2 linked regions of the Schizosaccharomyces pombe genome follow. The gene in region 1 interacts genetically with each later gene. Each region holds a gene or a part of one and is shown in the gene's direction. Other genes may lie near its edges.

Region 1 (7,469 bases):
TCTTTATGCTTCGTTGTATCGATGTGTGGGGAAAGGAAATTTTGAAGACTATTGGAAGCAAAGTATTATTTCAATCCTAAAGGAATATCATCTTACTTTGGATTTTTTGTTTCAATTTGTTATAGAACCGCAAACATACCCAACTCGTGAAGAGAATTTGATGTTTCCAAAACTCAAAGGCCACTACGAAGAAACTTATCAGAAAGCTTTACACAGATGCAGAACTCTAAACTTGATTTTAATTTCTTTTTTAAGTACAAAGACGGATAAAATCGTTTTGCTTCCCATAAATGCTTTGAAGGATTTAATTCAACGTGTTTATACTGTACAACTTTCATTGCCTGTTAAAAGCGTAGAAAGTTCAGTTCAAGCTTTGCTATTCATGGTCCTTCCTCATTTGCATACGCTAGTTAATGAGTTAACCTTAAAGCTTTTTGTGGTAATTCCTCCAGCTATCATTCTTTCATTTGATTCTTACCTGGATTCATTAAATGATTGTTTACTTTCTGAGTCAACACATACTGGGGTTTTATGCTCTTCTTTAAAGTTACTTTCAAAGTTTTTGGATGTGACACATATGAATGTCCCTCTTTCAAAATACGAAAATATTGTAACGCTGGTATTAGAATATCTTGCTAATTCCTCTAAAGGTTTAGCATCCAAATCCATAGAGTTCTCTAAAAATCGTGGGCATTCTCAAAAAAAGCGAAAAACACTTTCTGAAAGTCAAGCAGGAGATACACTTATGAGTTCGGAAGAGTCTCATCAGCTTTATGATTCAGATGTCATGGATTGTTGTTTTTCTTTTTTAGCATCCATTTTGACTCATTCAATAGCATTACCACGTTTATTACGGACCAAAATAGATCTTTGCACCTTGCAGATATCTTTGTCTAACCCTACCTCAACAGTTTTGATATCTATGCATAATTTACTCCTTGCGTCAATTTTATCACCGGGAGATTCACAAGCAGTGATAGTACCTCATGCAATACGTATAATTTCTGGTCCATTAGGGCTTGTACATCCAGATCCTCTGGTCGCTTCACACGCAAGGTCATCGATGCAAACAATAGAATCGCTGATTCATCCTAGGTTCCCACCTTTGCAAAAACATCTTTCACCAAGCGAATTTGAAAATACGTTTGAGTCAAGATTTGAGCCTGTTTCTCTTGAAAACCAATCGCATATTTCTCCACCCCAGGTGGATTCTCAATCAGAGTATAAAGAAAGTAGTATTTTGGCTCCATCAAATCCTCCCTTTGAAACAGAGTCGATTACAGATTCCACTGAAATTGAAGGGATCAAAGAGTCTTTTGCATCTACAGATACAGGCTTACAGAATAATTCTACAGCTACCTCCGAGAACAAAAGAAGCGAATCAGAGCTGACTATGTCTAATGTTCTTTCTAATGAGGGTGACAGAAATGAAGAAGGTAGTGAAATCAACTCTTCTCAACCTTCAACTATTAATCACGGGACTGATCACATTAACATTGTTTCGGAAAACAAGGAAACAACTGTTTCACTGTTGCATGGAGATGTTGAGGTTGAGGAGACTACAAATGTTGCATTAAACAATTCTCAGGACACTGAAACCAAATTTACTGCTATAGACGTTGACTTTGTTGACCGACCTACTAGTGTAGTTTCAAGCCAAATTGAAAACATAAATGGTGATGAAAATGGAAACACAACTTCTTCAGTCGTCGAAACTTTTGAAAAAACAACGGATGTCGTAGATGAGAAAACGACTTCTATTAATGTGGAAGGAAACGGAGAAGATGATGAGGAGGAAGACAATATCTCTTTGCCAAGTATAAACTTGGAATCTGATAGTGATAGTTAGTCTTAATTTATAAAAAGGATTTGGGGGTACTGAATGTTTATTTTAAATTCTATTTCTAGATAAGTAGGTTGTCATTTAATCCAAGCTGATTTTTATAAAGTCCTGTATGTATTATCGTCATGGCAAAAAAGGTACATCAAGCTGATATTTGGAGGTTAAAATCAATTGATTTTGACCTCCAGAATACATTGCTTATGTGTTCTCCTTTTTAATTAGCTAAATTTTCCAGTAATACAAAGTACAAAGTCTTGTGTTATCCGCAAAAATTTTTAATTAATCATTTTTATACCATTGGTGTCACAAAAATCCCGATTATTTTAGAGTTAGACTGTCGTTTATGTTTTTTGAGAAAGAATTAAAACAACTTATCTAGTCTAGTGTTTAAAAGAATTTTATACTGTTTCATTAAGAATAATGAAGATATCCCTTTCCAAAGGCAAAAGAAAAGTCGATAACTATATAATGCAAGCTTCTAAACAAACTTGAATTAGTGATTGCAACATTTCTTTTGCCAACAATATTTAAATCCTTCATTGCTTGACACATGGTTTTATGAGAAAAATTAAGAAAGAACATTAAGTACTTCAAATAAATTTGTTGAAGGATCCAAAATTCTCCAAATAGACTTTTTTTATATGAAGATACCATTCATTCAGCTTTGACTCGCATGCGAGCTCTCTGGACAATAAACGATCAAGCCAGCGAGGTATACTGTAACCATAATATCACGAATAGTACAATAAACTTTTTTTTAAAAAAATCTAAATGTACTAACCAGAGAAGCATAAAAGAGCTCTTATAGTTCCATAAAGGATACGTTTTATCCACATAGCACTCTCTTAAAATTAAATGCTGGAATGTCGTTTTGGATAGATTATGCAATTGTGCAATAGTAATTCCTTAACAACTGATAGTTTTTGTTCAATTTATCATTCTGTTTTATTCATCCTGGATACCTTTAACTCCATGTCAGTATTTTCTGTTGTACGGCCACGAGAGTACGGATTTTTGAATTGGTTTCAATGTTAGGATCAATTACTAACGTTCCATTTCTTAGTTTAAGAGACGCATACTTCATTCACATCTTCTAATCCTGACTGTTCTAGATAAGAAGTCATCTTAATTCGCTACGTTAACAACATTATACATTAACTACACACATATTGCCAAATTTTAGTAATTCATAACAAGAGTGTTTTCCAGTAAAGGAGTTGGATCTTGAAATGTACCACTAAAATAGATGATTTTGAAATAAAAATGGAATGGATGGAATTATGAAAAACGACTTGTTATGGTTCGGCAACCACGTTTTCGACCTTACGCCAAATTCATTTGATTCTGATTTTGTCGAGCAGCTTTCGAAATTTGAGGGAAAAGAAGGATTGAAGAGGAAGTTATTTGACTCCTCGGAATACTTTCAAAACTTTTCATTTCAAGTAAACGATGATCTGTTGGGAAAAGATGTCATTCTCGATATTTCAAATCAACAACTAACACCCGCTGTGCCTGGGTGTGAGACATCATCCAATTCCAAACTCATAAGCGCATCTAAGGAAATTACTTCAGAAAGAAAAAGAGCTAAATCCTCAGTGTCCCCCTCTTATCTTACAGATTCATCACCCAGCGATTTATCTGTCGAAAACAAAGTTCTGCTAACATGCCCTAGCTGGGATGGAGAAAATTTTAAAAATTTAGAAGCTAGATCTCCATTCATATCTGAAGCGCCTTCTCGGGTATATGATTATTTTCTTCATAATCAGGATTGGAGTCCGAAACCATTATTTTCTGCACTGCAAGTTTACCCTTTAGCAACTATTTTCAATTGCGTGGCTGGTTTACCACAAGGATTTGAAAGCACAGTGTTTCCATGGAACAAAACCTCAAGCACATTTGAACTCGATCCGACCATCTCCGTTTCAGGAATGTCCGATGAATGTTTTGCTAGTATCGTCCAGAAATTTTCTGCAATTGGGGGTTTAATAAAAAAAGCTTTAAATGAATTCTCTTTATACAAGACCAACATTTCTTTTTATTTATCAAATTTCATTGTGAATGGTGTCTTGCAGTATCGAAAGGAGTTTCAGCGTTGGCTTCGTCTTTATGAGTTCCGTAGATTCGGTCTGATTGGTTTAAGTAACTTTGTTAATTCTTTTTCTTCATTCTTTGAGTTAATTTCACACTTCTTAATAAAATCGGCTCAAAACCTAAAAGGAGATTCCTTGTTAGATTTTCTTTTTGATTATGCGCGTTCATGTCAGAATACCATATCTTACCCCATTGCCCTACAGTGCTTGATATATTGCTCAAATCCCTACTTCAAAAGGCTTGAGCTTGCTTTAAAAGTTTCTTGTGCGTATGGTCACATTGATTCTTCATTGTTCTTATCACTTCCCCGTTTTTTTCCTTCTGAACTTTGTGTAAGCATTGAACAGTGTATTCAATTTTTGTCATTAATAAGGGAACAAAAAGAAATATTTAATAAAAACAACAAAGAATTTATTAACCCTTTGAACATTCGGTTCGCATATTCTTTCAACGACATAAATCAAGCTTGTGTAATAGAGGAGCGCTGCAACTTTTCTTCGCTTTCTTTTGGTAATTTGGAACAAACTTCCGTCAATAATGACAGTGAAGAATTTGAAACGCTGCTTGCTAAAATGAACATGACTCCAGATTTCAACGATAATTTATTACAACTTAAATTTACAGATGATGTGCGCAACGTCTGTCCGCTTAACTTGAATGTTTGCTGCTGTATTGCTGAGCCAATACAATCTTTTATTCTCAGTTTCTTACGTTCGACATATAAAGTTTTAAAAAACGATTTTCAGGTGTTTGATCTTTTAAATTTTTTTCATTCCACTTTTCTTTTTCAAAATTATGAATTCTCTGATAATGTCATTTCTCTGTTAAAATCAAGAAGGCTTGATAAATCTGACCGTAATGAGTTGGCTGAGGACTTGAACTCTGATGACAGATATAATTTTATTTCTCGATTGAAAAAATTCATTTTTATGGAAAAAGAAAAAAATGGGTTGAGCAGGTCTTTATCTAAGAGTATAACTTTTACATTGGATTCTGCGAGCGTTAGTGAATTTGAGGATGTGTACCCTGATTTACAATTCCAATGCCAAGTAATAGGTGCTTTACGGATATTATTTACTGATAACTCTTTAAATTATTATTCGAAAACTTTTTCTTACGTTTTACATCTCTTTCAAGCTCAATCAGACTTTGAATCATCTGTCGAATTGAAAGATCGTTCTATAGTAACAAAAACAACTATTATGTCATGGTCTAAGTATCAAGGCACGAAAGAATCTCTTTTTCAGTTTCTTTCAATATACATTCCAGAGTGTATGTTGCCTTTTACGAAATTACTGAAATCCATATATTCTCCTGACTGTCCTACGAACATACAAAATTCTGCAATTAAAAATGCGGCTTCAGTTCACGAGCAGTGCACTAAAGCAATTTATCAAAAGGTCAAAGAGTTGTTTGATACCATGAAACTCTGGGAGTCATCCATCAAAGTGTCATAACAAAAAACCAGATCCGGATGACGGATTTTTACGAGTGTAAACATGCTAATCTCACCTTTAAGTTTGAAGAATATACGATTTTACAGCAGAAAAAAATTTATAAGCACAACACTTACAGAAAATTCCTTGCATAAAATGATAAAGAATGTAAAGAAGTATTTGGATAAATTCATGAGTAAAGTATTTACTAGAGATATATCTTAATCTAAGTTTAAACAACCTGTGCCAAACAAAAGGAAATTAATTTAACAAAGAAAGGGATGAAGAATTAAAAGGAATCAAAATAGAAATGAACAGTCAAGCTTATGATTGATTGTTTGAAGATCAAACATATCAAGGTAAAGTGCCATGATCACAGGAAAATACGCAATGTAGTTTAGTAAGTTATTTTGGTGCAAAAATATATGCGCTTTAATGGTGGAACATACCAGTATGTCCCACTTAATTTGCTCGTTCAAAAAATGCATGCAAAAAAAAAAAAAAAGATACAAATCTGTAAATACCTCACGCAAATATAAGAGTGCAAATAAAGACATGTTGAGAAAAGAGTAGAGGCAAAAGCCAAAAGATAAAAATCTTACTGGACGCCTATCACTTTGGTGAAGTTGAGGGTAAACGGACAAGGAATGCATGAAAAAGGAAGGAGGTAAGTGATAATTTAATGTTAGCAAGGAAGACATGCAAGTAAGGAACAAGTGCCCATGTTCCTTATTTTAGATTTTTTTTAAAGAAAAAGGGAATCTATGCGAAATCCTTTACCACAAGAAGGCATTGTCACGGTAGTTAAAGACACTGGTAATGTTTGGATTTATTTTGGAAGTAGTGTTAACAATAACATGGTCATCGGCAACAGGGATACGACTGTCGTTGGTATATACACAAATACCTTGACCTTTATAGCCAATATTACGGCAAGTAGCACCACCAAATGGAGTGCGCAAAGCAGAGTTACAATTAACGGGGTATTGGGTGCCATTGAAGCAAGTGTTAACCAAGTAAGGGTAATCCGTATTACACAAAGTCATGTTGCAAGACCAATCCATTGAGGAATCACGAGTGAATAAGATGGGTTGATCAACAATGTTGGTATAGCTTAAAGATATACCGGAAGAACGCTTGCTGTGAGTGCTCGTACTTCCCGAACTAACGGAAGTGGTCACGTTGATAACATTTGCATTGTCAAAGTTGGAAGAATTAGCGCTAGTGGAGTAGTTGGAGGATCCGATCTGACAAAGACCGCGAGTTAGTCCGTAGGAAGAATTGGTTTCAACACATGCGGAACCACGACCCTTGGGATAACCAAGCACAGTAGGGCAGTTCAAGAGAACAGTGCTATGATTAGCGCAAATGGCAATTACATCGGGTGAAACACAAAGGTTGGAGCCACTTACATGGCAATATGTACCTTCCGAAATATTATAATAGGAGGTAGAAGCTATAGCAGAACTCAAGTCAGGAAATGTGTCAGTTGCACGCTTATATAAAGAAATCTCACGCCTTTTACAAGCAGGAGCACCTGGTATGCCACAAAGCTTGATGGACGAGACATAGGAGAACGAGCAAAGGAAAAAGATGGCCGAAATCGCAAAAGAGGCAAATGCAAACATTTTTTTTATAAAATTAAAATGTGAGAGTACGTAAAGTAATTTTTGGAGACGATAATTTTGAGAACGGAAAATGCAATTGAAAATAGGGGGAAATAATGGAACGAAAGGGATATCAGATGAATAGAAAATGTAAGGACGATAAGAATATATGGAATAAAAATGTAGAGACGATGAAGTCTTTTTGGATCGATTAAAAAGGAGGAAAGATGAACAATGATAATAAACTCAACTACTTCAAGGAGCTTTGTCAAACTGAAGCACCCAAACACTGGGACGACGTTTTACAAAGTAACTTAAGAGAAGGAAGACAAACGATGTAAACAAAAGATGTTTTCAAGTGGAAAACAGCCAAAATGCAAAGACCAGATTTTATAGCAAACCGCAATGGGGAAGCAGATCGATGTTTATATATACGAGTTTAGCCTCGTTCGTTAGACGATCCTGACATCATTTGTTTACAGTGGCAAGCTG
Region 2 (3,810 bases), on another chromosome or scaffold:
TTTGTCTGGAAATAACTGGAATGTACAAAATGCTTTAAAGCAAGTGTCAAGTTGATTTCGAATAGTTCTCGTTTGGATGTGTTTATATATATTATGTAGATTAAATTATAGTAGAATATGCCATTATAAGTTCATTTAAATACAAAATTGTGAATGCTGTAAACAGGTTGTTTACGAGTTTTTAGTAAGCTATCCATTTAGACTTCTTCTTTTCTCAGTTTCTTCAAGCCACCGTGAAAATAGTAGTTGTGATATGGGGCTCCGCTTTTGCTTTTTGTGATGCAGTCTGTTGTCTGGAGTAATTTGGTTAACAAATTTTGAGGACAGATTTTTATCTAAAGAAATGAAAGATGTATAAAAAGATTCTAAAGATGAGCGCTGCGTTGCTGACAATTTATCATTTAATAACATCGATCGTATGGTGGACTTAATATAATGTTTCATAGCAAAATCGGAAGTCAACGATTTATGATAAGAGCTACCTTTTTCAGACAATGACTTGGAAAAAGGATGCGGTGTCGCTTGATCACTCATTATAGTTTTCTCTAAATATTTTATTGATGAAGGCAATTCCTCTTTATTTTGTGAACTGATGATGGAATTTTTAGGAATGCTAGTATTCCCTAACACAGTTGAGTCAGATTTCTTTACAGTTTCAAATGTCCAATCCTCAATGTCAGCATTTCCTTCAGCAATTGGTTCTTCAAAGGGCTTTAAAGTATTATTTATGGTTTCTTCCAATACACTTTGATCCGAATCATCAAATAATTTATTCTCCTTCTGAACAAGCAAAGGAATAATGTCTTTCACAGTTCCTGCGCTTTTGATGAATGGGTGTTGAAGGAGTTCTTTAGCTGACCATCGCATATTAGGATTGAGATCTAAGCAGCAGGACACAAAATCACGGAATGTTGGACTGAAATGATCATCTAGCTTTGGAGGCTCGGATTGAGGAATTTCAAAGATGACACGCATTGGATGCATTGTAGCGCGGGGCGGAATTCCGTTAGCCATTTCAATAGCCGTAATTCCAAGAGACCAAATGTCAGCAGCTAAACCATAACTTGTTTGTTGTATTACTTCCGGTGCCATCCAAAATGGCGTTCCAACAAACGTGTGTCTACGCGAAGCAGCGTTCGAAAGTTGAGCGGCAACTCCAAAGTCAGCAAGCTTTACGTTTCCGGTAGAGGAAGATAGTAGTATATTGGCGGCTTTGATATCTCTGTGGATTTTGTTTTGTCCATGAAGATAATTTAGCCCATAAAGGACCTCTCGAAGAATGATTGAAATTACTTGTTCATTCAACCTTCCCATTTTCAAAAGTCCCGAAACTGATCCTCCATCCATATGCTCCATCAAAATCCATAATGTGTATCCGTCAACAAAACAACCGTAATACTGAATTACATTGGAACTGTTGCAATTCGATAACATAAATACCTCTTGTTCGATGTCGGTAATGTCGTCAATACCTGTTTCTAAATCAATCTGCAACTGTAAGTTTTTTGTGATACTAAAGAAGAGTAAAAATTAATTAGTCTTACCTGTTTAATAGCGATAATGTCGCCAGACACATTTTCACGTGCTTTCCAGACAACCCCAAATGAACCTGATCCTAATTTCCGTAGCAGAGTATAAGAATTAGCATTGAGAGGATACATTTCATCAATATTTTGACTGCTCAAATCTGAGGTTGAGCCTACTTTCGGTTTCGTTTTACAAGCACAAGCTAGATGCACCACGAAGTACTTTGTTTATTACTTAGAGGATTATAATGAGCTACTCCGAGACGCCTATTCCAGTAAACTTAACATTACCAACTTGTTACGAAGTATATATAATTAGACTAGTTTATTATAAAGTATCGAGTTTTATGTCTGAATCTACCAAAGAGACAATAGAAGTTTTATACGAAATAGGAACATTGCTTGGAACTGAACTTGATAAAACAACGCTTTCACTCTGCATCAGTCTTTGTGAAAACAACGTACACCCAGAAGCAATAGCTCAAATAATTCGGGAAATACGTATGGCTCAGGAACAAACTGTTGACACAGAACCAAGTTAATGGCAAGAAGTTTAATCTCAATAGTTGACCTCGGGGTTTAGTATTTCTTTTATCTAATGTCTTCTTTAAACAGTGTTCTACCTTCAAATGCATGCGCAGAGATTATTGAAGGGAAAGACAAGGTTCACAATGTAGTTATTTTAATGCATGGACTTGGAGATTCTCACAAGAGTTTTGCAAATATGGCAAAGAACGTTCCGTTGCCCAACACTAGTTATATTTCCTTACGTGGACCATATCGATTACCATTAGATTTTGAAAATCCTGGAGGCAATTGGATGTGGGGAGAGGATGTCCATTTTGATCAAAACGGGGAACTGCAATCTGAAGCCGATTTCTCTAAAAGTTTTACGATGATTTCAAATTTAATTGGCAATCTACTCTCTTACGGTATATTATCTTCTAGAATATTTTTTTTCGGGTTTGGTCAAGGAGCTATGGTTGCTTTATATAGTTGTTATAAATTGTCTACTAAATACCAGCTTGGAGGGATATTTTCCTTTGGAGGTACTCTACCGCTATCCATAACTTTGCCCAATCATCCATTTCATGTTCCAGTGTATTTGTTTGAAAAGCGATTGCATTGTTCATGCAGCGAATATGAAGAATCGCGATTACGTAAAACATTTAAACCATTTCACCTCACATGTTGGAATCGTGATGATAAAACTGACATGCCTTCATCCCCTAGAGAATGGTATACATTCGTTCAATCTATTAGTAAACATTTGTATATTCACAACACGTTGTTTGAAGATGCAATTCCTCTTACATCTTTTTAGAATTGATTTATTTAAGTTAACATTTGTTCACAATAAAGTTAATATTCATTTGGGCATAGATATAACAATAACTCCTCTAGCCATTATGTGATTAAAATTAGTACGTTTACCTTTTGATCATTAAGATTTTCAATCGACAAGATAACTAAGATCCGGAAGCTTATCAACAATTCTATTAATTAGTTGATTTTGGTCAACTGTTTTTATATTTCCACGCCCTGCTCTCTCATTATTAAGAAACGAAGTATTGATCGATTGAATAACAGCCGGAGTGTCTTTAGGAGCTGACAATGAAGTAGAAGGTGAACTAAAATTCTGAAAAATTAGAGTATTTGGCTCAACTTGAGACTCTTCACTTACATCATCAACGGAAGCAGAAGCTAAATTCGATGAGTTTTTCGAGGTATCTTGGGAACTGACCCATGAACCCCATTCAAAATTATCAGAGGTTGGATCCGGGGAAAGAGACGTTGATGAATTTTTTTTCTTCGTTTCTCTAATTTTTTCTTCAGAGTCAAGTTTAGCGATTGATGAATGTTCTTCGACTTCATCAACTTTTTTACGATCCAAACTTAGTGGTGATTTTGGAACAACTTCATCCTCTTTATTTATTGAAATTGTAGAACAACTGTTGCTTTCCCTCTCAATCAATTTGACTGGGGAAGAAAGGAAAGTATTTGCAGATAATTTGTGATCCTGTTTAACAGCAACTGTATTATTTAAAAGAGCCGTAGAAGAAGAATAATCCTTGGGAATTTCATTCGATGATAAATTAGAAAAATCAAGTATATCTGAAGGAACATTTATACTGGAAATCTTGGTCGTAGAAAAATTAGATAAAGGAGACTGTTCCGGTAACAAAATATTTTTGTCATTGATGGGCGGTGTGACAGGTGAATTGGTATAGCTTGCTGTTTTCCTTTTCTGCTTCTGATAAGCTGTTGACCAACAAAAAAGCAC

The links. Genes that interact genetically often act in the same process or in processes that back each other up.
Region 2: mutations in alp16 (region 1) and mzt1 are lethal when combined (synthetic lethality), as found in Schizosaccharomyces pombe (one study listed by BioGRID).

Annotation. Positions count from the first base shown.
Region 1 is NC_003421.2:430,317-437,785, reverse strand, and holds alp16 (gamma tubulin complex GCP6 subunit Alp16), read left to right. Parts: upstream 1-2,999; 5' UTR 3,000-3,111; coding exon 3,112-5,391; 3' UTR 5,392-5,522; downstream 5,523-7,469. Other genes in the region: ribosome biogenesis protein Rix1, read left to right, coding at 1-1,849; SPOM_SPCC306.11 (uncharacterized protein), read right to left, coding at 6,147-6,998. UniProt on the Schizosaccharomyces pombe protein: Component of the gamma tubule complex that is required for the regulation of both interphase microtubules and mitotic bipolar spindles.
Region 2 is NC_003424.3:1,983,608-1,987,417, reverse strand, and holds mzt1 (putative mitotic spindle organizing protein Mzt1), read left to right. Parts: upstream 1-1,809; 5' UTR 1,810-1,873; coding exon 1,874-2,068; downstream 2,069-3,810. Other genes in the region: inp53 (inositol polyphosphate phosphatase), read left to right, coding at 1-55; PAK-like GC kinase Sid1, read right to left, coding at 190-1,488, 1,545-1,661; SPOM_SPAC9G1.08C (phospholipase), read left to right, coding at 2,125-2,850; SPOM_SPAC9G1.07 (Schizosaccharomyces specific protein), read right to left, coding at 2,980-3,165, 3,211-3,810.